Tribolium castaneum: one gene and its partners. The protein of the gene in region 7 binds, or shares a complex with, the protein of the main gene of each other region. Links are inferred from orthologs where the notes say so. Each region holds a gene or a part of one and is shown on either strand. Other genes may lie near its edges.

What was found.
Region 1: MED20 (region 7) and MED1 share a complex: the UniProt entries of both Drosophila melanogaster proteins name them as parts of the mediator complex. The link is inferred for Tribolium castaneum from reciprocal best matches to the Drosophila melanogaster genes MED20 and MED1.
Region 2: MED20 (region 7) and MED9 share a complex: the UniProt entries of both Drosophila melanogaster proteins name them as parts of the mediator complex. The link is inferred for Tribolium castaneum from reciprocal best matches to the Drosophila melanogaster genes MED20 and MED9.
Region 3: MED20 (region 7) and MED21 share a complex: the UniProt entries of both Drosophila melanogaster proteins name them as parts of the mediator complex. The link is inferred for Tribolium castaneum from reciprocal best matches to the Drosophila melanogaster genes MED20 and MED21.
Region 4: MED20 (region 7) and MED4 share a complex: the UniProt entries of both Drosophila melanogaster proteins name them as parts of the mediator complex. The link is inferred for Tribolium castaneum from reciprocal best matches to the Drosophila melanogaster genes MED20 and MED4.
Region 5: MED20 (region 7) and MED31 share a complex: the UniProt entries of both Drosophila melanogaster proteins name them as parts of the mediator complex. The link is inferred for Tribolium castaneum from reciprocal best matches to the Drosophila melanogaster genes MED20 and MED31.
Region 6: MED20 (region 7) and MED8 share a complex: the UniProt entries of both Drosophila melanogaster proteins name them as parts of the mediator complex. The link is inferred for Tribolium castaneum from reciprocal best matches to the Drosophila melanogaster genes MED20 and MED8.

What each region holds. Positions count from the first base shown.
Region 1 is NC_087399.1:8,917,794-8,922,677, forward strand, and holds the start of MED1 (mediator of RNA polymerase II transcription subunit 1), read right to left. Parts: upstream 3,257-4,884; 5' UTR 3,115-3,256; coding exon 3,096-3,114; intron 3,033-3,095; coding exon 2,893-3,032; intron 2,844-2,892; coding exon 2,128-2,843; intron 2,077-2,127; coding exon 1,845-2,076; intron 1-1,844. UniProt on the Drosophila melanogaster protein: Component of the Mediator complex, a coactivator involved in the regulated transcription of nearly all RNA polymerase II-dependent genes.
Region 2 is NC_087395.1:15,956,380-15,961,269, forward strand, and holds the start of MED9 (mediator of RNA polymerase II transcription subunit 9), read right to left. Parts: upstream 3,105-4,890; 5' UTR 3,064-3,104; coding exon 2,963-3,063; intron 2,907-2,962; coding exon 2,801-2,906; intron 335-2,800; coding exon 197-334; 3' UTR 193-196; coding exon of another isoform or gene 1-192. Other genes in the region: protein NCBP2AS2 homolog, read right to left, coding at 1-192; Mrgn1 (E3 ubiquitin-protein ligase MGRN1), read left to right, coding at 3,255-3,337, 3,383-3,515, 3,564-3,823, 3,871-4,058, 4,107-4,258. UniProt on the Drosophila melanogaster protein: Component of the Mediator complex, a coactivator involved in the regulated transcription of nearly all RNA polymerase II-dependent genes.
Region 3 is NC_087401.1:8,393,258-8,396,704, reverse strand, and holds MED21 (mediator of RNA polymerase II transcription subunit 21), read right to left. Parts: upstream 1,860-3,447; 5' UTR 1,672-1,859; coding exon 1,630-1,671; intron 1,582-1,629; coding exon 1,366-1,581; intron 1,316-1,365; coding exon 1,142-1,315; 3' UTR 1,033-1,141; downstream 1-1,032. Other genes in the region: Set1 (histone-lysine N-methyltransferase SETD1B), read left to right, coding at 819-992; FAM21 (WASH complex subunit 2A), read left to right, coding at 2,120-2,239, 2,291-2,610, 2,658-2,850, 2,994-3,189, 3,235-3,447. UniProt on the Drosophila melanogaster protein: Component of the Mediator complex, a coactivator involved in the regulated transcription of nearly all RNA polymerase II-dependent genes.
Region 4 is NC_087397.1:1,783,792-1,787,732, reverse strand, and holds MED4 (mediator of RNA polymerase II transcription subunit 4), read left to right. Parts: upstream 1-1,690; 5' UTR 1,691-1,812; coding exon 1,813-1,880; intron 1,881-1,930; coding exon 1,931-2,624; 3' UTR 2,625-2,886; downstream 2,887-3,941. Other genes in the region: beta-PheRS (phenylalanine--tRNA ligase beta subunit), read right to left, coding at 1-11; uncharacterized protein LOC661495, read left to right, coding at 350-618, 666-1,309, 1,359-1,591. UniProt on the Drosophila melanogaster protein: Component of the Mediator complex, a coactivator involved in the regulated transcription of nearly all RNA polymerase II-dependent genes.
Region 5 is NC_087401.1:17,494,745-17,498,301, forward strand, and holds MED31 (mediator of RNA polymerase II transcription subunit 31), read left to right. Parts: upstream 1-1,832; 5' UTR 1,833-2,271; coding exon 2,272-2,284; intron 2,285-2,327; coding exon 2,328-2,435; intron 2,436-2,492; coding exon 2,493-2,821; 3' UTR 2,822-2,878; downstream 2,879-3,557. Other genes in the region: uncharacterized protein LOC656943, read right to left, coding at 1-740, 793-1,001. UniProt on the Drosophila melanogaster protein: Component of the Mediator complex, a coactivator involved in the regulated transcription of nearly all RNA polymerase II-dependent genes.
Region 6 is NC_087396.1:15,801,129-15,806,041, forward strand, and holds MED8 (mediator of RNA polymerase II transcription subunit 8), read right to left. Parts: upstream 2,927-4,913; 5' UTR 1,843-2,926; coding exon 1,324-1,842; intron 1,278-1,323; coding exon 912-1,277; 3' UTR 819-911; downstream 1-818. Other genes in the region: CTD small phosphatase-like protein 2, read left to right, coding at 1-37. UniProt on the Drosophila melanogaster protein: Component of the Mediator complex, a coactivator involved in the regulated transcription of nearly all RNA polymerase II-dependent genes.
Region 7 is NC_087398.1:429,233-432,659, forward strand, and holds MED20 (mediator of RNA polymerase II transcription subunit 20), read left to right. Parts: upstream 1-1,499; 5' UTR 1,500-1,635; coding exon 1,636-2,256; 3' UTR 2,257-2,328; downstream 2,329-3,427. Other genes in the region: uncharacterized protein LOC103313212, read left to right, coding at 1-355, 961-1,032, 1,080-1,164, 1,222-1,294; Hmbs (porphobilinogen deaminase), read left to right, coding at 2,541-2,585, 2,638-2,710, 2,770-2,956, 3,009-3,273. UniProt on the Drosophila melanogaster protein: Component of the Mediator complex, a coactivator involved in the regulated transcription of nearly all RNA polymerase II-dependent genes.

The DNA of each region.
Region 1 (4,884 bases), on a different chromosome or scaffold from region 7:
AAGGGAGTATAATGGGAAATTGGTCTATCGAAAATATTCGATAAAAACAATAAAAAAAAGTTCCATTTTTTATCGCATTTAGGTGTGTTTTAAAACTTCAAGATTTTTTTATAGGTATTTTTACAACCACATCGAGAGGTGATCGTATGATGAATTGGTAGGCTAAAGATGCGTTGTAAATATTGTGTGTATTTTTTGAACTTTTTTCCTGAGCCCAAGATGAATGCTTTTAGGGGTAATTTCAGAGAAACTGTAAAAAATACCTTGCTTAAGCATCAATCAATTACGTAAATTAAATTAATTTACGTATATTCATTTCATTGACAGAATTAGTTATATTAAAAAAATAAGGTATTATTAGTAACTTAGTTAAAAAAACAAAGTTAGTTAAACTAGTTAAAAAAAACACGATGTTATTTTCAGAGAGTGGATTTTAGAATTTTAAAATGTGCTAAAAAGGGATTATAATGCGAAACTGGTCCTTAATCTTAAAAGAAAAGATTTGATAAAAAAAAATAAAAACAAAAAAATCATATTTTTTTCACATTTAGATTTAGTGTTATTATTAAAACTTGTGAATCTAAAACTAATTTATTTTTAAGATTTTTAAAATTAATTAAATTTTAGTAGAGAGGCTGAGGATAGGTTGTGAATAACGTGTGAATTTTTTGAGATTTTTTTCAAATTTGAAACCCCCTCAAACTCCAGAAAAAGAATGCGTTGTATTTGGGAGAAGGTTCGAAGAAATTATTAGGGATGCCTTGACTAAGCATTAATTTATATATTATTAAATATTCAAATTATTAATTAAAAAAAACAATTACAGGACATAAGTTTCTAATTTCCAGTCTAATTTTGATATTGTTAAAATCTTTAATAATTAAAACCTGCCTAAATAATTTTTTTAGAGTTATTTTCATACACAAGATTTTTTTGTCCCATCCGCCATGTGTAAACAAAAAGTAAATTAATCGTGGTTTCAAAAGTTTCAACAAAATCTACCATTTATTTATAAAGTAATTCTTAGAATTAGTGCCTTTTAAATTAACAGAATTTTATAAAGATTGTTTAGCGATAAAAATGTAAGGTCTTTTTTGTGTCCCGTCCGTCACCAATTTGTATTCTTTTTCCTGCTCATATTTCAAATTTTACAAATGTGGCTCCGACTATTGTAGGTTGCAAATTGTTTGACTGGTACTAAGTTCCTATAAAGAAAAATTCACTTCTACTGATACTGGTGATAAAAATTGGTAAAAAATCTATAGTGTCCCGTCCGTTAAAATGAAATGGCTGCTTATATATCAAGAATTGAGGTGGTTAATTAACTATTTTTTGACGTGAAATTAATTGTTTTTTTAATAATAATATAATAATAATAATTTATTTGTGGCAGTAAAACAGTTACAATATAATTAATTACAACAAGAAAAAAAATACGATAACAAAATTAAAATTTTCTACGAGTTGTTCCTACCACAAAGTGGACCAAAAGACAGCAAAGCTGATCAAGGTTTTGACCCAGACAATAAATGAGAAATAACAAAAAAATAAACAATTTGATTGAAGAAAAAAATAAAAAATATAATAATAATAAAATATCTAATTCTATTTAACAAAATTATAGAGCAAAAAAACACATAAGAAAAATCATTTTGTAAGAAACATTTTGTATTTATGTTTAAAATTGCTGATTTTAGAATTTTTTAATGTCAGAGGAACTTCATTAAGTAGATTATTTTTGATTATTTACCATTTTTTGGCTCTCGAAAAGTTTGTACCGCAAACTAGGAGAATCAGTAGTCAACATGACCATTTTTTTATAAATATTATTGCCAACCACTTACCACAAAAAGGCCCTTATTGTTCCCAGACTCCATTTTCCCTTCACTGGCGTGATGTACTATTAAACTAAGTAACGGATGAGTTGCTGATTGTTCTATAGTATCCAATTCAGTAACTTGTTGAATTTGTCTAACTAAATTGACACACATTGGCATTGGTTTGTTTAATTTGAGGACAAAACAGGCCGGAATTGCTGCACTATTTTGGCTACTTAGCGATGAAAAAGACGGCGTACTAAAATAAATTTCCCTCAAAGAAAAAAAAATTTTTTTTAATAATTTTTACCTTTTCCCGTTAATATTCCTATTAACTGTGATGAGAGTGGTCGTTTGCAACTTATGTGTAGCGGACCCTTCCATACACACCGTCACACTGTACCCCAGCGCTTTACTAACGATCGTATCAACAGTAATAGGTTCAATATCACATTTCTCAACATTTAATAAATCATAAGGAGAGACAAAATAGGTGAGTTTCATGGGGTGTCCCCCTCGGCGCTTCTCCAGCACCCCAACCGGAGACTTATACAGCAGGTTGAAAGGTTCCTTCATGAAAGACTGCAAGTGAGCCAAGGTGCTCAAATCAGACTCCAGCGACTGCAAGGCTGTGAACGCCTTACACTTGACCTTTTTCTCAGCATTGAGCTGGTAAATCGAGGCAAAACCTTCCAACTGGGCAGTGAAATCGGCAAAATCGCCACTAGATAAACAATTGACGAGCTCAGCGCAACTCTGTTGCTCCAATTTACTGTCATGGTGCACTTTCACGTCTTTGACGGCCCCCGTCTGGTCGAGCACTATCTCCAGGTAGAACATGTCGGAGGAGATGAAGAGCTCCACCCCCGAGGGGCCCACCATGAACTTGAGCCCCAGCTGCCGCGTCAAGCTCTCCAGCCGCTCGATCATGCTCTGCAAGGACGTCACTTTGATGGAGTGCTGCAGAGTGTCGAGGCATTTCTGGTGCTGGCTCTTCTCGACGCTGTCCAACGCGTAGCGCTTGTCCTGAAAGTAGGGCATCAATGGAGGCAGTGCCAGACATGACATAACCTACAAGCATGGCCATTCGCACATTTTTGGATATCTCTGTCAAGCTTTTGTACTGCGACGCCTTCGAGCGCAGCTTCTCCATCAATATCTCCAACTGCCAGTCTTTGGATTTGTCCACAACGGACGGTGGCATCGCTAAATTGCCTTAAAAGTAAACAAAGTTGTAAATGTCAAAAGTCAAACTCTTGGCTGGGGCGCGCAACCCACCGTTTGTTACGCGATTCATGATGAGTTCGGGCGAAATTAACGTTAAATGTTCGTAAACATTTTCTATTTGGGGCGAATTAAGGGAAAAAAACCGATTTTTCGAACATACATCAGCACCAAACAAAAACTTGACAGTTTCGTTACTTTCCCCAATTTAGGGATATTTGGCTACGCCACCGGCGCCCAATTCAAACTCGTGTCTGATAATAACAATAACAATAAAAATATTCAAGTGCTTTTCCATTCATTTGTGTTTACCAACTCTCAACTTTATCAAGATTTGATACTTTGGAGTGCTTTGAATTGGTGGCACATATGTTGTGCTTATTGCAACGCAAATATTTTAATGAAATGTGGTCGTAAAACAAACTCCCGGAATTAATCCGCGTTTTTTACCAACGAATTTCGTATTAGATCCGTCAATGACAATTAAAGCCGTAATTCGCTACAACTTTTCAACTTTTTAGATCGCAAGAAGTTGCTGACACGATAATCTCCTCATCTTCCCCCAGAACTGGAGCAAATGCCCGCTAACACATCACAACTAAGATAATAGTACACCATAGGCACATTTCCAAAATTTTGAATAGTTTATTCTCGTTTTTTTTTTTATAAAGAAATCAAATACGTTGTGCGTTAGTTTATACCACATAATGTTTTTTTTTATTATTTTGTAGGCATTCAACAAAAATCACATAAAATTGCTTAGTTTACTGTATTTCAAAATTTCTTAGATAGATGTTTTTTACAAAAAATGTTTCCAAACCGTTAAAACATGATATGAGGGAGTTTTAGAAGAAATCAAGCAAGATTGACTACTTTATTTTACTCCATGTGATTCAGATAAAATGAAAAGCTTTCAAAAACCAAATGCAACAAAAAATAATTTACACGAAGGGTGTTTTACATTTTATTTCTGTAATAAATTAATAATAGCCCCCGTCACCTTAGGTATCGTCTGATATTAAAGAAGAACCTTGGTCCCCTTTATACCATTGTATTTGCTGTTTCAAAACTATAAAAACGTCAACGTCACATTTTCTCACAAAATTTGCTGTGATGTGTGCTGTTATAAATTATTCATGCAGTTGAAGAAAATAATAACTAATGTAATTTATACTTTCAATGAGATATCTAATCATTAATAACTATTTTACAATTTTATCAACCTTATTTAAAAAATATTTGGTAAAGTGCGTCGTTGTTGTTTTTATAGTTTTGAAACAGCTAGTGGCAGATTTAGTGTAATAAAATTAAAAGAAAAAAAATTGTAGTAGTTATTTTTTTTAACAAGTTGCTTTGTAATACAAGCATAAACTAAATAACTCAAAATTGCCAGAAATCACGTAAATACATTAGTTTAATGAGTTATAAAAATTCATCCTTTTAGTTTTACGAATAGTTTTATTGAATTTTATAACAAAATTTATATTCTTCTTCAATAAACATTTCCAGAAATTAATTAAGTGTATTTAGAAAACATTGGTATCATTATTAATCTTGTTTTTCTTAAAAAAAAACAGAATAAAATTAAACGCTTTAAAGACAGAGAAGCTTCGCCAAAAAAAAACAACAAAATAGTATTTAAATAACGGTAGCTTACCATTCTCACCACAATGTTATTATTAGAGACCGGATTTTTGGACTTTAAAATATGCTATAAAAGGATTATGGTGGGAAATTTGTCATAAAATCTTGAAGAAAATATTTGATAAAATAAAACAAAAAATTTAAAAAATTTTTTGCAATTATATAAGTGTTATTAAATCTTTTGAATCTAAAACGAATT
Region 2 (4,890 bases), on a different chromosome or scaffold from region 7:
TCGCTTCATCAAAGCGCGGAACTCCTCGGGCGATAGCCGCTTGTCAAGACCCCGCTCCTCGATGAGATTCTTGCCGTGGTAGACAGCTCGCACTACGACCTGCGCCGCTTTGCGCATAGGGTACGATTCGCTCAGTCTTTGCACCAACTGTTCGTTGTTTGCAAGCAAGCGGATCAGGAGGCGAAACACCATGCTGTTATTTGGGGACTTCAAACGAGTACATGTAGCGGTATTTGCGCAGGAGCTCTTGCTTGAGTTTCAGCTGCGTCTTGAGGGCCTCCAAGTGGTCCAGTTGCTGCTCTTTGCTGTACTCAATCCCGGGCAATAGCCGGATCTGCAAGGGGTTGGTAGTCTAAGATTCGAATTACGGTCGTTCTGCACTCATCTGTTTAACGGATGAAGCTTATTTTATCAAAAATGCGAGTAGGTAAAGTCCATTATTTATCTTTAATTGTTAGAAAAGTAATTGGTTCAGAATTCTTGTCTCCGGTTTGCCTATGGCATCAGGAAATTCCAACATACTTGGGCTTTTGAGGAAGGAGTATAAATAAAGTTTTTCAAGTTTTTTCACTTTGAATCATTCTAGGTTCATTTTCAACAATGTAATATTATTTAACAAACACAAATTTAAAAGTGTTGAAATTAGACAATCGAATTTTGCATGATTGTGTAAAGTATTGAAAATTAACAAGAAAAAATGAAAACTTAAAAAAATAAAGATCAAATAATTGAAAGTGGACGTGAGGCGACCATGCTATATAAAAATCAAATTAACAAAACTTGGACTTTATTTATATCACAAAATAGTTACTTCCAAGTCCCACTGATGAAATAATCTTCCGTCGTGACATACATAATGTTACCGTAAGTCGCACAAGTCTCTTTTAAAAGTCCCTTTTTTAATGTAGCTAAAGATTATAATAGCATCCATCGACAGTTCTAGAAATTGAATCTTCTTATAGTTTCAAGGCTGCAATATTTGACAAATAATTTTCCGAACAAGGACAGTCATGGGAATCTACTGGTTATTTTGTACTGGTTTGTTATGTCAATTTTTTTTTATTTTGTCTTTATTCATTTGCTGTATATTTCTTCTTGTTTGAAAGGTTTAAGTGGAAGAGCAGAGAACAGCAACTTTGCTGTTCATTTGAAACCACCTGTTTATTCGTACATATAACGGGTTTTTATTATTATTATTTTTCCTTAAGTTGTAGATACTAATCACCTGCCTCATCTAAAACTACTTTCAAATATACAGAGTAATTCAAAAGTACTCGTACAATCTCTCGGGTGCTGATAAAGGACATCAAACTGAATTAAAAGTTCCTATGACAAAAAATTGTTTGAGTCTTTTTTCACGAGATAGCTACAGCTCTTCAAAGTTAAATTTTTAAGTTAATTTTTTGATGCTTCGGACCATATTTTTTTGACCTTAATTAGCAGAAACGACATCTCTTGCAACATTAAACAAATACCTGTTGAAAAAAATTAACAAATAATGTCTAATTATGTGCAAAACAATAAAAAAACTTGTAAATTCGACAATATCTTAAATTCAACATATTAGGAAACAAAAGAGAAACAATCGATACCGTTGCTAAGGAATACAAACTTAAAAATATATAAAAAAATCTGACTTCATTTTTGTGCTTAACTGAACGTCTTTTATCACCATACGAGTGTTTGTCGAACATTTTTGAATCATCCTGTATAGGATATTTCCGAAATTAGCTACAATACAAACTTATTTTTTTAAGAATGTTCAAAGTTAAATTGGTTAACGCATGCAATTAGGAACGTAGAAAAATTATGAAGTTTGTTAAAAGTTGAATAACATAATAAAAGTTTTTGTTTTTATTTTTCAAAGATTATTAAATTGTCTACTTAAAAACAAAGTTTCAAATGCCTAACCTTTATAATTAAACAAATATTTGACTTTAAAATTTAATTTCATCAACAATGCAGATTATTCATGAGGATTACTGTTACCATAACCTTAGCAACTTCACCACGGATCATTTGTTGGAGTTTAAACAGGGATTTAAAAATTCGCCATAGATAAGAAAATTTTAGTTATTTTACTGTGAAAAATAACTGAAAAATAATAAAGTTATTATTAGCTGAAAATTTTACTCTTCGACTATTGAAACAATTGTGAATAATTTTTAATGACTTTTTTTAATGTTTTAAGTTAAGTATAATCTTTTGAGTAATCAGCACTTAACTGTTAATGTTCTTTAATAGACAATTTAAAGGTCTTTTAGATGCAAAAATAAAAAATACGGTATTTCATTTAAGTTTAAAGTTATTCAAATTTTAACAAGCCTCTTAACTTTTTTTATTTTCTTGATTGCAGTGAGCTAAAAAATAATTATATCCTTAAAGTTTTCTAACGTGGAACCATAACTTTTTTCATTATAGTGTAATTTGTAACATATTTTGCTCAATACTGAAGTCGTATTTGCTATTTCCCGCTTCAATTATCTGATTGTTTTCTCAAAAACTACAATATTACAACCCCACCTCATTTTCTCAAACAAGTGGACTGAGGTTGTTTTTCCCCTGTAGCCTTCAGTTGTAAAATACTGAAAAAAGGCTAAAATTCGACGCTTTTTAGCCCCCTTTACCATGGCCTGGAACATTTTTTTTAGGAAACCTATTCGCGATACAATCCTTTGGACTTTGGATATTATCTCTGATAAAAAGATATTTTCATCCGGTAACCAGAAGATAGTACAGTATGATCCTAATTCGTATCCCCTACTATGGGTATGAAGTGATTAGGGTGGAAGAAAGTTACCTCGGCTCTGGCTTGGTCCAAACGTTTTTGCAACTCGAGCACCTTCTGGGAACAGTCTTGCGACTCTCGTGCCTTGGCGGTGTTATCGTGGTGGTCTTTCTCAACACTGAATGATTATGCAAGACATTACGATTTTGCCTGTCACTAATTTTATCAACAAACCTGCGTATTATTTCGTAGATAATGGGCAAGATCTCGATATTCAAATTTTCCACCGTGACATTCCTCTCTGACTCCTGGTTGTGCTCGTCAGATTCCATCATAGCAAGGCATTTCCTGAATTTTCATTGAATTTTCTTTCCCACATGAATTTTCTGACACATTCACTCAGGGATTTTGTGTCCCTGGTGTTGGCGACGACGCCTCAAATGTCACAAGTGTCAATAATAATGTCAAACTAAAAACAACAATAATTTCTGATTTTGGAAAAACTTGGCAATTTCAAGCCCGCAGAATGGGTTCGTTGGCTAGCAGACAACACGCAGGGGTCGAGGAAGTGGACGTGGTGTCAAACCACGCGTACAAGTACCCGCCCAGGTCTGGTATGTCGCTTTGCTTTTTTCCGTACCAATTACCTTGAAGGCGTTTTTCTGAAGGGAACTACTTCGGGAGCCACTTTATAATGGGGGGCGAGCGCTTCGACACCCCCCAGCCCGAGTCTTACCTCTTCGGCGAGAACTCCGATTTGAATTTCCTGGGCAGTAGACCAACCCCTGTAAGTAGCCATTATGCGGTTGTTTCGCCCCCACAGTGCCGTTTCTAGTTTCCCTACCCCCCGCCCCAGCCTAATGAGCCCACAAAAACGCTCAAAAGTCTGGTGAACATCCGGAAAGAGTCGCTGCGGTTTGTCCGCGCCCCTGCTGATTATTCCAAACCGGCGGAAAAGAACGAGCGGGACATCAGGGATATTGAGCTGGGCAAGAGCTCGACGTTTAATATCGAGTTCACGTTCGATTGTGACGTCAGGTGTGCAATAACAATCTACTATTTTTGTACCGAGGAGTTTACACCAAGTGGAGTCACGTAAGTTGGGTTTTTGTCATGGGTTTGCAATTTTATGGGGTTTGAAGGTACTTGCCGCGTGACCCTAACACGACCTCCGAGACTTTTCATTACAAACGCGGTGCGAACCAACAGTTTTGCCAAATGACTCACGTTTTTGATCCCTCGAAGTACACAGAAGAGGAGTTGTTGTATGATGTTGACCGGGAGATTATTCCAATTGCCATTCACTGTGTGGCGGAGGAAGGCGCTGAGGGTTGGTTTGACCCGTTTTTGAATTTAATTTTTGAATTGATTGTTCCAGAAATGAGACAATCACACACAACTATCGCCACAGCCGAAAAATTGTCCGACGGTACTTATGTTTTAAAAGCTCTCAAACAGAAATTATTCGTTGACGGTCTTTGCTACCTCCTGCAGGAAATATACGGCATTGAGAACAAAAATAACGACAAGGTGATTGATTATTTACATGCCCTACTGGGCATAAATACACAGTGAAATCTCTCTTAACGGACACCTATAAGCGGAACTCTCTCACAAACGGACAATTTTGTTGGCACTAAGCCACAATAAATAATACACATAACTTTAAAACCTCTTCTGAGGCCAGAATCTAAATCAGTTTACTATTGAATAAAACATGTATTCTTTTTTTTCTGACGAATTGTCATAATTAACATGCTGTCTGCTTGAAGGCGAGATTTTGTGTTCAAGGATCTGATTTGCATTGTCTGCGTCCGTTTATTGGAGCGTCCGCTTAAAAGAAAAGCAATTCCATTTAAAGTAAATTAGCTCAAAACGGGGTCAACAAAATTGTCCGTCTGTCACAGAAGTCCGCTTATAGGAGTTGTCCGTTAAGGGGGATTTCACTGCATTAATTACACTAGTTTACAACGTTTTTTACCAATAGATAAAACCAATGTTTATCTGTAGAATAATTAGTCCTGATACCGAAGTCAAAAAAAAATTAGAACGGCAAGTTTTTTTAATATTCATTATAAAGTATCAGTATTTGACGATTTTTGCAACTTCAAAAATGTTACAGAATGCTTTTTCTTTTGTACTATCAAGGTCAGTTTATCGTA
Region 3 (3,447 bases), on a different chromosome or scaffold from region 7:
TAAAAAATAAATTAATTAACTACTTAACGATAAATTAACTAAACGTCAACAACATGATTATAAAAAAGTCAAAAAGTCAATTTCATTCGGATCAGTGGTTTTTTTTTTTTGGCTTGCATAAGGTCTACTAAGGGCACTGAGGCAAGTTTAGCATTCGGAGATATTACCTCCTCGAGCTTTGATAACTGCCTCCGTTTTACGCGACCTGCTGTAATTTTAATAATTTGACATTTAATTAGCTAGCCATGTTTTTAACCAAATGTTTTAAAAAAAGTGAAAGTTACTTGAGAATTCTATTATCTTATATCATCAATTTCAGTTCTATTTTCAATCTCTTAACACTCAAAATCTTGCAATTTAAGTGATGCGATAATTTTGTGGTGAGTCTAGTTTCGTGTTAATATCTTGGAACCACAAAATATTATACACAACATAGAACAATTTAATAATGTTTTAATATTTTAAAGAATAAATCGCTTGTTGAAAAAAGTGTAAGGAACAAAGTTGTAGAGAATTAAATTTCCTATAAAACAGTTTGCGACAACATATTTCCATTTTCAACGGTGTAGGTACAATGTGTTTTTAAATGATTCTTGGTGTACGTGTAATAGAAAATTTTATTCTCCATAAATTTCTTCGTAGGATTTTTCTTGTGTTCTTGATTTGTCCATTTGTTTTTAAATTAATTTAAAACGACTTGGCGCCGAGACAGTATAATGCTCAAAGCGCCCTCATTTTTACATTTTGGGTACGATTTTGTATCTCGTTTCGTTTCCTAAGCGACAGTCTTCCATAACCCGAAAAAATGATTTTTACAGCCGAATTGCTACGCCAAAGTCATCACAATCGAGTCGCAAAAGAAAATAGTGATCTACTCGAAACAGAGCATAGGTGTGAACGAGGAAATTACTTACGATTACAAATTCCCGATCGAGGACGAGAAAATCCCGTGTCTGTGTGGCGCGGCCACGTGTCGAGGAACACTTAATTAAAGGGAAACAAGACAGACTTTAAACCGAGTTAGTTACTATATAAAATTTAAATTATCTTTTTTATTTGTATATATGTTTCTGTAAATAGTACATGGTTATTTGTGTTTGTTTTTCATCACAACCGCAAATAAAATTCATTAACAGCTCACTTAACTATCCTTACTCCCCGCTTTTGTCAAATGCTGCATGTCCAGCTGTGATTGGGCGATGTCGCTCAACGCCGCCTGGATTTGCTCCAAGAGATCCTGACCTTTACGAACTATAGCCTCGAGACGCTCAGCAGACTCTTGATTGTCTGATTCCAAAATTCGCAAGCTTTGCAACTGAAACAGTGTTTAGTCCGCGGTCGGACCAAGTCATTGTAGATAGGTACCTGTAATTCGGTTGAATTTTCCTCGCTCGGGAGCGATTCAATCAAAGTATCTATGTCTTTGGCACAGCGCGCAATCAACGTTGTGAATAACTGGACGTAGTCTTCTTGGTTCTGTTGCTGGGGGGTTTGGGAGCCACTCCTGTCGAAGTTTGGGAATTTGCTAGGAGGGGCGAACTGTTGCAAAATCCCAATGCTGTTGCAGAAATGCTCGGCTTGCTGCGACAACACGAATGCAATTAGTGGTACAGTCTTAGGGGGAATTACCTGATTTATGCAATCCTGGAGCTGGGTCAAACGATCGGCCATTGAGGTTATGTTACCCAATCACCGACAAGTGATAAGACCCGAAATCACATAAAAACCAACACTGATGATAATTTGTTATCTCCCGAGGTTTAATATGCGACAAAATATATTAATTCGTACGAAATAACTAGAATAATACTAGAAGGTGAATGACATCTTGCAAAAACAAACACACATGATTGCCAACCCAAATCTGGTTGGGTAAAGTCTGCGTAAATTAATCCCACCGGGCCGAAGTTACATTTTAGTTATCACGCCTGATTTCAAATATAGTAGAACGGTTTTATTTACAAATTAATTGGTTTTATTTAATCAAATAATAACGCAAAACCGGGGAGTAATAGCCAACCCACGAGTTGAAAGTCCCCAAGTCAGTTTTTGACAGATGTCAAATTATTATTATTATTAATGAAAAATAGCAATTACAGGCCTGTTCAGCGCTTTAGAAATGTCCGGGGCCAAGCCGTGGGAGCGACCATGGTCCATGGACGAAATAATCCAAAATTCGGACAATTGGAATTTAGCCGGAGATGTGGCCCTTTTGAACACTCTCAAGGCTTTTGCAGACGTATTTCGCATTTTTGGCCCACATTGAACCGTTTCAGCGTTCAATTTTTAGAATCTCCTGACTCGAACAACCGAAATCAACAATAACTTGCAAAATTTGACAAGCTCCCTGTCTGAGACAAGTCTCCAGTTGAATATAGCCCAAAACGAGTTTCAAAGTTTGCGAAACAGCCAGTTTATTGAAAGTCGGGTTTATGAGGACGATGAGACTTTGGAGGAGCCGGTTGAGGCGAAAGCCGAGGAGAAAGAGGTTGATAAGACTGAGGAAATCAGGTTGGCGGCTTTGAAGGGTTTGGAGGTCTTGGAGACGTATTTTGAGAAGGTTGAGGTGTCGGTCAGTGACAGTGAAGACGACGATATCGACTTGCCCAAGTAATTTTTTTCTAAATAATTTACAAAAACTAGTTTGTCTTTTCCAGTTTTGTCCTCAGACCCAAAGACTTGTACCTGGAGCGCCCCCTTCCGTACGTAATCGGCTCAGAAGAGTGGCAAAAGACGTGGCACGTGGGCCTGGAGGACTCGTCCAGCGATAGCGAAACTGAGAAAGTCTCAGATAATTTCAGTGAAAGCGACTCAGAATCAGAGTTGCCAATTATTCCCGACAGAACACAGGTACTTTACACATGTTTTTCCACTGGTTGAGTTGCACTTGATCCATTCATTATCATAATTTTATTGGTCTATTAACCGGCCAACCGAATTTTTTGTTTAGTCGCGATCCAGTCGCCATGGGCAATATCTGGTTCTTTTTCCAGATCAAGGGCACCTCTGATACCAGTTCTGAGGACTTGCGAACTGAACCGAAAAATTTCGTCAATTCGAGTGATAGTGAAAACTCAGTTCCGGTGCAACCAACTACCAACTTTGCCGAAGAGTTGGCGGCGAAATTGGGGAACGTGATTGATCAAGAGTACGTCAATCGACGGCCAATCCAGAAAACGCCACAATACGGTAATTGTTTTTGGAAGCGGACCGCAGACTAAACGCTAATTCCAGATAACCTATTTTTCGATGAACCGCCGCCTTTGGACGAACCTAAGGGGTTGTTTTCAGGGGGTAAGGGCTTGTTTGATGACGATGATGAAGCCACGCCCCCAACCCCCAAACCCGAATTGAGACAACCCCCAAAACAGGACTTGTTCGATAGCGATGATGATGATATTTTTACGAAAAAAACCACCTCTTATTTACAAAATCCTGTCAAAATGC
Region 4 (3,941 bases), on a different chromosome or scaffold from region 7:
ACAGTCGGCATTGTATTTTTTATTTACTATCACGTTTTTGTCTAAAAATGAACACGTTTAAAGTGTTTCACAACTGAAAAAACGATGACATGTGCGGGACCTGTCAATGTCAAAAGTTGAGGTTGGGTCAATTGTCAGCATCAGCGATCAGTTTTCGAGAAAAAACGCCAGTTTTTAAGATTATTTAACAATTAGTCTTCGTCAGAACTATAATCGGAACATAATAATGCAAATTTAATTAATTTTTTCCCACAATATTTTTTTTCGCCGGTTGTATTGGCACACCTGTCAATTGCGAGACGTAGCGTTTCTTATAACCTTAAAGTTACTTCGCCCAAACAAACAAAAAATGGGCTCAAAGAAGAAGAAGCGCGTTTCCAGCAGCTCCAGTTCATCAGATTCAAGCAGCGAAAGCTCCGATTCATCACCCGAACGGCGCCCGAAACGTAAAAGCAAGAAAACCGAATCGAAACCTGAGACTGAAGAATCGCCGAAGAAAACCAAAACGAAGGCAAACTCGCATAAAAAACACGAAACTCCGCCTGTGGCAAGTGACGAGGCGAATAAACAGGCAAAAAAGAGGGACAAAAAGCCAACAAATGAGGAAGAAACCGACAGGTATGATTGTTGGTGGTTTTAAGGGAAAATACTAGTTGTGTTTAAAGGAAACGCAAGCGGAGTCCTGTGCCTGAAAATCGGGACAGGCGGGAGAGGGACGATAAGAGGGTCCGGGACGATCGGGGGCGGCATGACGACAGGAGAAACCGCCCCAATGACCACCGTTCTCACGATAACAGGTTCAGAAACCGGCGTCCTGATTACAGAGACAGGGAACGGGATTACAGGAACCGACGGGACGATAACAAAAATTACCACAACCGGGAGCGAAACAGAGAGAACCATCCAAGGCGGCGTAGCAGAAGCGCCTCCTTTGACCACTCGAACGCCCGTTGGGGCCGCGAGTCGGACGACAAAAAATCCGACAAGAAGGAAAAAGACCAGAAGGAAAAGCAAAAACCGAATTTCGGTCTTTCGGGAAAACTTACCGAAGAAACTAACACTTATCGTGGCGTTGTTATAAAATATAGCGAGCCGCCTGAGGCTTGCAAGCCGAAACGTCGGTGGCGGTTGTACCCTTTTAAGGGCGAAAAGGCCCTTCAGACTTTATACATACATCGCGAAAGCGCCTACTTGATTGGGCGCGATCGCAAAGTTGTTGATCTCCCTGTAGATCACCCTTCGTGCTCAAAACAACACGCAGCTTTGCAGTATCGCCTAGTCCCTTTCACGCGTGAGGATGGCACCACTGGTTTGTGGGACAGCTGGTAGTGTGTTGGGTTTTTCATTGTTTTTTTCAGGGAAGAGAATAAGGCCGTATTTGATTGATTTGAACTCGGCTAATGGGACTTTTATCAATAATAAGAAGATAGAGCCGAGTAAATATGTGGAGTTGTTGGAGAAAGACGTGATCAAGTTTGGGTTCAGCTCAAGGGAGTACGTTTTATTGCATGAGAATAGTAAAGATGAGACACAGGATGACGATGTGAAGCAGGAAGAGCCGGCGGTTCAAGTCAAGAGTGAAGAGAATTGAATTTTGTGTATATATTTTAATTTAGCTTAGGTTTCTTTCAATAAAGTAATTTTTTCGATTAAAATTCCCGCTCTTACGATTTAGTTATTCTCTGGGCAGATGGCATCGCAGTGTGCGCGTTATTTTGACATTTGTGTATTTGAGGTTGTGTTCGAAATAAAAACTGTTCAATTGATTATTTCGTTTAATATTTAAACCCGTGAGTGTTTTTCCCCATCATTATGTCGTCTCAAATGAGCACGAAGGAAAAACTCCTTTACATCCTCGACGATATTGAGTTAATCTCCAAGTACGTCCCCCTTTCGGGTCATTTCGTATGGTTTTATTTGCGTTTTTTAGAGAAATAATCGAGAATTCAATCGCCCCCAAGCACCTCAAGCTTTCCGGCCCTGAATACGCTCAACTGACCGAGCTTTTGGTGGCCAAAAACACCGAACTGACTGAAACCCTTAAACTGGCCGCTGAACAGGCGCAAATCGACAAAAAAATGGACATCTTGAAGGCCGAAGTGGAGCGTCAGGACAACGACATTAACAACTTGCAAAAACAGCTCAAAGAGGCCGAGCAAATCCTGGCCACTGCGATTTATCAAGCCAACCAGAAACTCCAGTCCATTTCCCGCGCAAATAAACGGCCGGTCTCGTCCGAGGAACTTATCAAATTTGCGCACAGGATTAGCGCGTCTAATGCGATATGTGCCCCCTTGACGTGGCAACAGGGGGACCCGCGCCGGCCGTACCCCACCGATATTGAGATGCGGTTGGGGCTGCTGGGGCGGCTGATGAGCGATCCAATTAACGGGCATTTGTTGCAACAGCAGAACAGTTTGTCAGATTTACATAGACAGGGGCACCCGGGGGAAATACCCGCCGCGCAACAAAATCAATTTGCATGGCATCCCTCGGGGGAGATTCACATGAGTGTGGGGCAAGGGAGTGTCCCGATGGACACGCGGAACCATAAACAGGAGACCGAGGATGTGGAGGTCATGTCCACGGACTCCAGCAGCAGTTCCTCAAGCGATTCTCAGTAGTTTTGTGTTTTTTCCCTGGACTTGATTCATCATATTTATATAAAAAAATTAAGCGAGTTTGTGTGGAGAGTATACCATGAGGGGAAATAAAATGATAAATCAATAGATTGAGGCGGCTATTTGGGGAAAAAGTCTTGTCTGCTTATCTCATCAATCAACTCTTCGTGACAGTTTAGATAAGATCTTTGTTTGCGTCTGACGAATATTGTTTTCTTATGTTTGTTTATAATGGAAGGAAAATAAAACACATTTCATTGTAATACCAACGTCTATTATTTAATTATTCCCTACAAGCTGAAGTGATTCAAATTTATTGTTTGATGAAATGATAATCACAAAAATGAAGCAGTTTCTCATTTTCTGAAATTTCTAAACAACACTCACTTTCTATAAAAACAAGTTTGTTGTTTTGATTGCGTCTTTATGATAGGTACAAATTTACAAGTAGGTTTTTTGATTTAAATTTTTATCGGATATGTGAGTTTTTTATCACAGGGTCGTAGTGTGATAATTTGAAAATTAAACCGCGTTATTACAGCAGAGCTAGGGCTGAAAAACGAGAGAAAGTCACCGAATATTATCGATATTCTTAACAATGACATTATCGTATCACAGTATCGATAATGATAAGTTTCCAACTGTAATCAATTTTTCGAAATACTTTAACAAACGAGTTATTTATTGTCATTATTACGCGATATGGGTATCAATAAATCAATAACATACAGGCGACTCATTTCCAAGGCTTGATCAACTGGTGGTGCTTGAGCTTAACAATGCACTTTGATTAAACAACGCTTTAATGAATATCGACAATAACTGATTCTTTTTTAACAGCTCTACTCCCATTATTACCATGTGTTAAGGTAGTGGCGATGCACTTATTGTAGAACAGCACAAAGTGTCTCAACTTTCCAAAAATAATAGTACCTTTGCAACAAACGGAATTTCTCTTGTTACCTAATTTACTCAAATATCAAGAAAAATACTCTCATTTGATTCGCCTAGAGCACGTTTTCAAAGGACTGGAAACGTAATGAGAGTGAGCTGGTAGGGCTCAGTACAGCAGACTGTCATTACGTACTTATAAATAATCGGGTTTCTTATACACTTAACTTTACAGATATATACAGTACCACATTTTCCGAACTGTCAATTAATTATTACATGTATTTGCGCACTAAAGTACATTTTGTAGCTAAAGGCGTGTATTTACAAAATATTAAAATAATTTAGTGAAGCTTGGGTCCCGCGTAAAACCAGCGTGGTACCTCTAATGAGCTAATTTAGGATTCCTATAAATATATTATTGTCTTT
Region 5 (3,557 bases), on a different chromosome or scaffold from region 7:
TTTGACGTCACGTGGTAGACTTGCACGTCACGTGACGGTCCCGCCCCCTCCTTCCAGCCAATCAGGAGAAGTGAATTAATCGCACTGTCAACTGGTACGATATTTGCCTCCAAATAAGGGTCACAATGCATTGATCGAATCACTCCTTTACCCGCCCCTACCAATAATCCTGTTGGTCCATTTAAATTATCAACCCAACCAGGAATTGGTTCGCGCCAAGCGGCCGTAACAATCGACGGTCGAGTGATAACCAAAGGTAACTTTGATTTGTATTCACTCACCAATTGTTCGGTTAAACATTTAGTATAAGCGTACGTGTTTGGTGATTTTTTTAGTAGTTTTGGAGTTAAAGTTTTTAGCGTTTCGTCGTCCATCCAGGTCACTAGATCTAGGATTTTTCGCGGGTCATGTGGCGCATTGTATAGTTTTTCCTCAAGTTTGACTTCATTGCAATGACAGTATGATGTTGACACATGAATGAAAATTTTCAATTGTTTGAAACAGCACGCCAGATCTAGCAAATTTTTTGTCCCTCCTGTATTCAATAGAACCGCGTTTTTCAACGGTTGGTCAAATCGCACGTTGGCAGCCATGTGAAACACCAATTCGACGTTATCCGTTAAAGTTTTCTCATCATCGTTTGATAGATTTAATTTAGTTTGGGTAATGTCCCCAGAAATGCAGTAAATCTTATTTAGTAATTTTTCGCCGTCGGGTTGGTCACGCAACTTATCGAAGACCTAGCCAAAAAGGCGTGTGATTTAAATTTTGACAAGTGATAGACATACGTACAGGACAATTGATGATATCTTCAAGTCTTTCGTTAGGTTTTTTCCCTTTTTTTGGACGAACTAACAAATAAATTGTTGATAATTGAGGACATGAGCGTAGTAATTTCTCGATTAGTACTTTCCCCATAAAACCAGTGGCGCCCGTGATGAGGATGTGTCGGTTTTTGTAGAATTCCGCAACCGCTGATTTATTGCTCATTGTTGAGAAACCTCAAAAACGATTAAGAATTGATTTATTTGCGTGTTGTGTAACGTGCACGCCACTGGTGAAAAAGTTAGGTAATAGGACAGTGGCGTACAAGGAAATGTCAAACACGATTTCGGCAAATATTTGATTGTGGACACAGCACTTGTGATAAGTAGCCGCGTAACAATACACGAGTTTTTGCACAATTGCTTTAACAAATAGAAAAAAATTTCAAAATAATGCAGTGAACTTTTTATGAATTTCGTCAATTCTCATTAATACATTAATAAAATAATAAGTAATGTGTTTCCATTAAAATTAGCAATGATAAATTACTGATATTTACTAAATTAAACAGTGAATTAATTATTGCATCAAATTTTTTATAAAACAAATGATCGAAAAATGAAGCAAAATCATATAAAAGGGTGACTTTGTTTTTTATTTTAATTATGATTACCAAGAAACTTTAATTTAATTAAAAATTGTAAAAATCGAAAAGCATTTTTTTAATTAATTCTTTACTTAAAAAGGATTTAATAGTAATAATAACTGATAATAATTAAACCGTAATTACAGTAAATTAAAAAGAAATTATGATTTTTAAACATATTTGAGACTAAAAACGCTAATCAGGCGTTAAATAGCTGATTAAATAATTAGAAAATTGTTAAATTAATTAATGAAATAATTAATGATAAGATAATTCAAAATTACAATAAATGAGCCAAAAAAAACGCGATTAAAGTCCTCACTTTAAATTTTTTATTGATCCCGCAAAAGTGAAAAGAAAAAATCTCGACTTACTGAAAGGCAGCAACAAAACAATAAAATTGTTCACACACAAAGCAGCAATGTTTTGTAGACAAAGCCGCAACCCATCCACCTGTTTTCATACAAATACCATTACCATATACCACCACCATGGGAATTTCCATGAAAATTCCTCGTGTTGGGGATCATTATGTTAGTCAGTTATTTTCTTATTGGTGGTCAATTTCCCGCTCAATTAAATAACTGGGCTACTTTCACCAGCGATTGATTTTTCCACACGCTTCTTACAACATGTACCGTTTCGATCCGATTTCTTATTATTGAGAATTGAATTACGCAAGAATAATACTTTCAATAGAAGAACAAGGGAATTTGCCAAGCCTCTAATGGTCGCTTTTCTATTGTTGTTACTTGTGACATTTTAAGTGCACGCTCTTACAACACGAACTTGCATTTATCCTAATTGATTAATTAAAAAAATTCGAATTCGAATCACGCGCCATTTTATGCACAACAAACATGGCTGGGAAAGGTAAGCGTCCTTTAATTAAATTTAGGTAATAAACAAGTTTTAGGCTGGAATTATATGTCAGGGGCTCCGGAAACCGACGATCAGCAAAGACTCCGCTTCCAGATTGAGCTAGAGTTTGTGCAGTGTCTCGGAAATCCTAATTATCTCAACTGTAATGACGTAACCTCACTTTTTCGGGAGGGAAAAAATACAATTTTTTGCGTTTTAGTTCTCGCACAGCGTGGTTATTTTAAGGATAGTACGTTTGTTAACTATTTGAAGTATTTGCTTTATTGGAAGGAGCCCGAATACGCCAAATATTTGAAATATCCAATGTGTTTGTATTTTTTGGATTTGTTGCAATATGAACACTTCCGGAGGGAATTGGTGAATGCTCAGTGTTCGAAATTTATCGACGATCAACAACTTTTATTGTGGCAACACTACACCAGGCGGAGGAGTCGTTTGTTAACCCCTTCGAATGTTAACGGGACAGGTGAACAAAGTATTAACCAGAATAGCCAAAGTAACGGACATTTGAGCAATAAAATCAGCTAGGTAGGGTACAAATGTGATTTTTTGGTGGTTAAGTGAAATAAATTATTTTTTTGTTTAGTTACATAAATCACCAAGATCCCACCAATTGCACCAAAATCCCACCCATTTCCATCCAAATCACAATTGATTGGCTGTCGCTGTAATTAAGGTAAGTTCCTTGTTTTTCCTTAAAAATCGTAAAAAATGCAAAATTTGTAACAAACCTCAAAACCAAAAGTCCCTGAACCCGCCCCGCCAAATTCAAATACAAGTTCCGTTTCTCGACCCAATTGGACTTAACTGTACACGAAATCCGCTCGACTTTCATACACCAAAAGTGTACTTGGCTTACACGATTTGTTTATTAATAATTGTTGACATGGTTCTATTAACAATCAAATCAATCATTTCGTTTCGATGCGTCCAACAATTAAAATGAATTTTTTCAAAATAATTTTTGTCGTTATTGTGATAATTTTGTGTGCTAGTGATGCGAAAATACGCAAGAAAAATACCAAAGGTTTGATTTTGCGGCAAAAAGAAACGAATGCGATTAATTTTCTCAGGTAAAAAAATATTGTATCATACAGGATTTTTATGGAAGTTTGCAGACTGGCGATTATGAGGCTTGTATATGGGGTGGCTACGCGATTGGGTTTTGGCGAACAAATCGCAGTGGCCTTAAATGGGGCTTTTGTGCCTCCGGGGGTTGACGATTACGATTATGGGGGTGATGATTATGGGATTTTGGACAGGG
Region 6 (4,913 bases), on a different chromosome or scaffold from region 7:
CAAATTCAAACTCTTCAGCTACTTACCCCCCGATTAATTGGCAGCTGTAGTCGCATAGACAATCTCATACCCACGTAATACTCTGTTTGTTTTCGTTGAGTCCCATTGCGTTGAAGTACTGACTGACGTCTGTTGTTTCTTTAAATTATGACGCAACTGGAGGTGCCTTTCGGAACGTCTTTTATACATTATTTTATAAGTAACCGTTTTATTCAACTGTTGTGTTTTGTCGGTGATTTAATTGTGCAATATGAAAGAAATTATTACAATTGGAGGTTGGTTTTAAAATTGAGAGAACCTAGATTGTATATAATTATGAATTGTTGGTCAGTATTTTAAGAAACAAAAGTATATTAACAAATTAGAGAGTATAAAGAGTTGAATTCTTTTATTGTACCACTTTGTATATAGGGAACAAAAACTTAGGAAAATTCTCTTGCCATGTAAGGAAAATATATGACCATAGAATAGTTGCAATTTATGCACAAGAGTATTTTATTTGTTGTTTGTTATATTTTTTTAAATGCGTATTATACGTAAACAGGGTCCAGTCACCCGCGTTACGTTGTAGAAAATATTTTTTTAAGTTGTTAATTTTTGTTTGACTGGGTCCCAAGTATTCTAAATGTTATATGTTTTATATTTTATATAATGCGTAGCATGTGCTAACATACATCGTGAAAATGTTCAAGTTCCGCTGTACTTATTGGAAAAGCCACCCGTTCCGACCAGCCACACTTCAACCATTTGTTGATAGTATAGTTTCAAAGTCTATAAAATTAATGCTTTTTATAATCTACTCATTACGCTACAAAGTGTTAATCTTTGTTTCCACTGTTATATTTAGTTATTTTTGTAAGATTATATCTTAATAAATAAATATATCTCCGTACACATTAAAAACTATTTCACTAGCGTCCATATGGATGTATTTGGGTGGCACTTTTGATGTTAGTCTTAATAGCAGAGGGCGCCTTATTCATCGTCATGGTTTGCGTGCTGGGGGGCATCTGTCCTTGCCCGGGAGTGCCCCCTGGGCGCCCCTGCGGAGGCACCATCATCCCTCCCGACGTGGGATTGGGCTGACCGTTAGGGTTCGCCCCCATCTTGAGTCCCTTCCCCATTCCAACAGCCGCCACAAGCGAGTGAGTATCAGCCACACTGGAATTCTGCTGCGTACTTCCCCTGGCGGAAGACTCAACTTCCCACTCCTCCCTCGCTTTACTCACCAGTTCCCAAACGTGGGACACAACCTTTTGATACGCAGCAATTTGTTTCTGAAAGTTTGCGTTGAAACATACTCTACCAAAAATTTTAACATACCTGTGCGTTCTCATACGATAAAGTTGACGCCTTGTGTTCCAATTGCATCATTTTATTCTCCGCCAACGGTTCTAGTTTGGTTCGAAGATAATCTGGGACTAAATCATGGGCGAAGGTTGTGACTCTGTGTTCGGTCATTTGGGCCAATTGTTCGTCCCGCTCGGGGGACAACATGAGGGGCAGTACTGTGAGATTTCTGAGGGTGGGGCATTTGTCGTGGCTTAAAACCTTCGAAAGGGAGGTGAGTTGGCCGGACATAAGGGCGTAATTGTCCAAAAATGTGGGCCAGTTGAGGGTCTCATATTCATTCTCCACCTTGTAAATCATTGAAGCTATCGATGATTTTAGGTCGTTGACACGCTGGATTATGGAATCGAGAGACGATTCGAGTTGTTTTTCTTCCCGTTGTTGCATTTTGCTGTATTTTTGGCGCTGTTTACAAAAACATAACCTTAACCACGATGACGGTATGTCGGCTGTGGCATTGCCGTCTCGAACTCCAGGCCTGCATGTTGACATTGTGACGTCACAGTAAGAGTCTAAATGATCATAACCTAACTTTCTGAATTTTTGCAAAAAATTAATTTTAACTATGTTGCGTCCAACGTTTTATGCAAGAAACGACGGAAAAGTGTATCTAAAGAATCCTGATACTGCAAATGTGGTCAACGAACGGTCAACTATAATTTTTATAGTGACATACGTTGTGATTTAAAGTACCTTATCCGTTTGTTATTACCCGAAAAACATATATTAAAGTTTATATTTTTTGATAGTTTAAACCATCTAGCCGTACTTAAACGTCTAAAGTTACGTCTATTAATACAAAAATTCTCCTTATGGGCCTAAATTTTGAATAACCGCGACTTAAAGACGACCGTTTTATCCAAGTTTTAACACAGGTTCTTATGGAATGCAACATGTTATTATTCGCTAAATATGTTTTAAATTAGTCGTAAAAGTGTGATCGAAAGTATAAGAATATGACGAAGAATTTTACGTCATCTCTAGTCACTTCGTGATATTTTATTATAAAATCATCCCGAAAATATTTCACATAAACACGACTGTTCTTGGTAACAGTCCAATTAGTTCGGGGTATCTTTCTTGACCATAATGATCGCAGGGATTCTTGTTTGGGAAAGGAAAACATAGGTACATAAGGACCATTCATGTTAGACACACAATTGGGAACACAACACTTATTCGGCATTTTCTAAAATTAGGAATGCAATAGGATTAAGTATGTTAGGTTTAGAGACTGAAATATGCCTTATCTGCTTATTTATTACCAAATTAAACGATTAAAAACAATAAAACCAAATTTATAAACAAAAATAATGCAAAACTATCCTAACCTATAATTGTCAAAATCACGTCACACAAGACTATAAACACACAAAATTCATTCCCTACAACGCAACCACAAAACAACAAATTCGTAAACAACAACAAATTACTTAATAACACTCTCAAAAACACCAAAAAGTACAATATATTCAAACGATGCGAACAAATGTCACGACTCTTACGATGACGTCACAATAAACAAAAGCTAGTAACCTGACGGCCTGGAGTTCGAGACGGCAATGGCTGTGGCCCTAGAATAACACTTTAATAGAAGCGGAACATAATGGTTGGCAATGAATTCCTAGCTGAAGCCATCTAGCCGCATCATCACGTACTAAAAATGGCGCGAATTTAAAATAATTCCGATTACTTTATATTTTTTTAATTTTTGCTCACGTCAAAATGATGCCAATACCTTATCAAATACAATTATTATGAAAATTTCTTAATTGTATTTGAAAAGGTGGATGCACAGACAGCACAGATGGAAGAATTTTACCCAACATGACACGATCACATTTAATGTTAAAGATATTTATTAAATCCATTAAGTTTACGAAACTAATAGTCGTCACCGAATCGATGATAAAGACATACTTGCAATCAGCCAAACTGGCACCGGTCTGGCACCTTATGTTTGCAACTTCTGTCTATGGGAGTCTCCTCGCAGTGTGACTCACTTGCGGTTCGATCTCAAAAAACTCACTTTTGGGAAAAACGCACCTATCTACGTAAACCTTCTGGAGCTCATTACTACGTTATATTTTTGGAGATCATGTTGTTCCTAACCGATAGTAGGCAATAGTCTAACCTAAAGACGACATTTTGATCCACTATAATAATAAAAATTAACGTGATATTATAAAAAATAAACTCAAATTAAAATCAACAAAAATGGCGATTCAAGTAAAAAGTGAGTGAAAATAAAAATTATTTTTCTAATGTTATTTTCAATTTGCACAAGAAAATTCATAGTGTACGGTCATCAGGGCACTCAGAGGAATCGTTTGGTGTAAGTTTCAGCTTGAAAATCCAGAAGTAGTTAAAGTAAAAAATTACCAAGTTATACTTTATGTTTTATTACGTGGTAAAGTTAACAACACACGTTAACATACCCTTTATAAACGTTTAAACACCCTTTTTCATGAAAAGGTTGACACGAGAAGTGCATTTTTCAATAAATCTCACTGAAATTTATGTCGTTGACTCAAGGTAGATTTGTCTGTCCTTAAACATGTTCAATAATAATTAATAGCGCTCTAGAAGAGCAGGAAAGCACACAAAAAACATTAAAGTTAAAATTTAACACTTCAGAAGAGATCATAATACACCCTAACCCTACTTTCTGAACTTTTGTCCTTATCTGGCAATAGCACATAATAAAGGTAGAGATTTCGACCCTAAATATCCTATCATAACGCTCTGAAAGGGCAGAGATGGAGACAAAATTCATAAAAGTGTAAATTTTGTCATTTTCGGGTGACAACATAACCCTACTTTTGGAACCTACCGAATTTTCAACAAAACGAAACAAACAAACAATGTGGTTATACGCATTGCGATACCACTAATTTTCGCACCAAACTTTCACATTGCCAGTTTCTGTTTAAATAAAAACATGCATTTTTATTTTTCCATTGACTGCATGCGAAACTTTTATAATTTTAGACGTTTATAGGCAAATACATTTGTCATAATTAATTTTTTTACATCAATGCTGTTCTATTTTAAATAATTCTGTGTATGAATGTTTTTAAATTTGACGAATTTTTCCAGTGAATATTTCTGGTAATGACCTGTTTTAGACTTAGTGACGTCACATCCGTGACGTGTCCCGAGGTTAGGTGTGCGGCGCAGGCGGCGAGAGCGCTTCAGTCGACAGCGAGCAATGGCACGGGTCAGATCGCGAGCGGGAAGCAGGAGGCGAGGCGAGGTGAGTCGGGTCGGTTTATTTAAATTATTGTGTATTGTGCGGTTTCCTTCAATTTATTCAGTTTGTTACTTGCCGTTGTCGCGAACGGACGTGTGCTCAAGCAAATCTAAATTTTCCGGTTTAAATTTTCAATTCGGTGACTAGTGATCGCGTTTGAGTGACACATTTTAAATACAGTAAATAAAATTATAATCAAACACTCAAATAATTAATTGCCACGTAATAATTTTGTCTTTAATTTCAATGAATGAAAGTGGCTTGCTCAAAATTTAATGCAAATAAACATTTTTTTTGGTTTCATTTTTAT
Region 7 (3,427 bases):
CCTGATGAATGCAGCGACCGGCTTGAGATTCTCGATTCGGGCCAGTTGGTCCAAACCACGTGCAAGCCCCAAGACCCCCCGCTGGAGGTGGTGTCAGAGAGCGAGTTCGTGGAGGTGGTGCTGGTCTCGGCCCATTCGCTAGTGCCCCTCAGAGGCGTGCTTATACACTACACTGCCGTGGGGTGTCCCACCCCCGACGCCCCTGAAGACGGCTACCTGGTCTATAGGAACGAAACAGCTGCAGAATACAGGTGCTGCATCAATCGGGCCTTTGAAGACGACGGACAAAAAACCAAAATCATCAACTGCGAGGGGGCCAAGTGGGACGTCGACCTCCCTCTGCCCAACTGTACTAGTAAGTTTGATTAGACGCTAAATGGAATTGACCTCCGACCCCGCTTTTTAATTTTTAATGAGATAAAGTGTTGTGTGCGAACAAAGATAACGCCGAAACTCCACATTTCGTGCTTTGTGCGAGTTTGCTAGTTTGGATAAAACAAAGATAAACTGAACGTAAGCCCTACAAAACAATTTCGCATTCGATGAAACTCCCAAACAAAATCTAATTATATTATGGAGTCTACGCCTCTGCCTATTGACTTGTTGGTGTTTCCGTTCAACAAAACGTTCCCGTATTGCTTTATCTCTCTCGCGATGCTCAGTTGTCAACGGAAAATCGTGTAGGAACCACGTGGATTACCTAGAGGCGTTTTTCGCGATAAAAAGAATTGTAGGAGTTTGCACTAACGAGGCAAATAGTGAGTGTTTCTAGAGTTTTTTTTCATGTAATTGTATTTTTAGCGTCCAATTAGACAAAGCAGTTGAGGTTATATTGTATTGTTATAAAAAAAATCATTATGAAAAGTTTTGTTGTTATCAAATTGCGGAATTGCGCTTCAGACCACATTCATTAAGTCAGCGGCGACTCGTGAACAAGGCTAAATTTACTCATTTTTTCAGAAAAACTTCAACAAAAGCCTCTGCTAACTGTTCAAGACATCGGAAAATCGAAAAATATCGAAATGGTTTCAGGTAACGCATTTTATGATTTGTTTAGGTTGCTGTTAATTTTTTTTCAGATGTTTTAGCACCGGCCTTACTCATAGCGGCTTTATTTTTGATAAATTTTATGGTTCTATTTTACATTTATAAAATTAAGCAAAAGTAAGTTGCTAATTTAGACTAATTTTTTTTCATCCATTGATCTTGTTTTTTTTTTAGACACGCTGAAGAATTTGCTGACGAAGAATTAGGAACGTTGCCACTGTCAAGTTGTGAGAAAGCCTCGCCTTGAATTATTTATTTGTAAAAATGACACTTTTATAATAAAAGTTTTATTTAATAATCGCTATTTTATTCCACCACTTTGAAAGTTGCAGTTTGGCGCGTAAGAACACTAGGAATTTTCGTTAGCTAAGGTTTACCAAAATAAAAACGCAATTTTCAAAAAAATTTATTGTTATAAATCAAATCCAAAAATACGGTAAATATAAAACATATGTTTACATTATGATTCAAGAGATAAGGGGTCAACGACTTTGAACTTGTAGCATTTTTGACACCTAGCTAAGTTGGCACCACTGACGATCATTAAGCTATAATAACCTCAATTTAGCCCCCAAAAATCCACTTAAAATGGGGGTCACAGTGTTACAACAGTTCCCCACAGAGAACCGCACGGGGCCCTCCACCATTGAGCTCCTCTCGAAGCGAATTTCCGCCCTGGGGGCCCTGCAACAGGGCCAGTTTCTCGTCGATTGCGAAACGTTTACTTCTTGTGCCGCTTTGGGACACCAACGTACAGTCCACGTCCTTCACAATTCCGAGCAGCCGGCGACTGTTTTTTCGATCCTTGAGACAGGCCAAAAGACCATTCCTCTCGCAACTGACGGCCTTTTTGATCTCCTGATGATGAAAATGTCCGGTTTTTACTCATCAAAAAAACAGACTAAGGCCGAGTCGAAGGGGCCGCGATACGAAATCGGTGATTTTTGTGTAAAATTGGGAACAGTGACTGTAAGTCAGAACTTTCGGGGGGTTCTGGTTGAAGTAGAGTATCGACCATGTGTGGTGCCTGCGATGTGTTGGGAGTTGATGCGGGAGTTTCTGCAGGGGTTTTTGGGGTCGTCGGTGCCTGCAACGCCCCCACCGTATTTGCAAAACAGGATGCAGGAGTTGTATACCCCCATTGATACAATTCATCAGTATTTGGAGCAGTTTACGATATTTAGGAAGGCCCCCGGTTTAAGGCCCTAATTTTAAGCTAATTTATTGTAAGGTTCAAAGTTTTTGTAAAGAAAAAATTAAATAAAAACAATTTTGAGGTTATATTGTCTTTCTCTTTTACTCCCACACATTAGACTATTATGCGTCTTTGTCTAATTACATAATTTGGAAAGTTGATTGTTCACCTCTATCAGCACTTACGTAGGGCAGAATGTGATAGTGGTGATGAAGCAGTTTTTTTTCAATAAAACAGCATGAAAACATAATCATGCGTTTGCGGTAATTGTTCCTTACTTGAGAGAAAAAGCACAAAAATGAGTGAGATTGAGAAAATCCGGGTTGGATCCCGGAAAAGCGAGGTATTTATCACGTGTTTGTTATTGTGGGCTCTTTTTCATTTGACATTTTCAGCTGGCTCTCATTCAAACGCGACATGTGATTTCACTGCTCAAAAAAATTCATCCTGGGAAGGATTTTGAAATTGGTGAGGTTTCGCAAAAAATTCCCAAAATTTATTTATTTATTTCAAAAATTTATTTTTAGTAACAATGAGTACATTAGGAGATAAAGTCCTAGATATACCGTTACCAAAAATTGGTGAAAAATCTCTCTTCACCAAAGAACTTGAAGCAGCTTTAAGTACAGGCTGTGTAGATTTTGTTGTACACTCATTAAAAGATCTTCCAACCGTATTACCTCCAGGAATGGCAATTGGGGCTGTTTTGACTAGGTTTTTCTTAATTATTATTGTAATGATTATAATTAGCTTTCGTAAAATTTAGAGAGGATCCGCGGGACGCTCTAGTGTTGCAAAAAGATCATGACAAATATTTATTAGAGACTTTACCAGAGGGAAGCGTCATTGGCACCTCTAGTCTACGGAGGGGAGCACAATTGGCCCGAAAGTACCCCCATCTCAAGGTTGAAAGCATTAGAGGAAATTTAAACACTAGGTTAAAAAAATTAGATGAGTTGGGGAAATATCAAGCGATTATTTTGGCCTCTGCGGGTCTCATTAGGATGGGGTGGACTAGCAGAATAAGCAAGGTGGGTTTTATATGTTATATTAATATGTCACTTGTTATCTAACTTCATTTTTTACAATTTTGTATCAAAAATACGTATATTTTTGCCACTAATTAACTTGTTATATTGTTTTTTCCTTATCACTTTGTGTATGAGACAAGAATATGGCAATAAA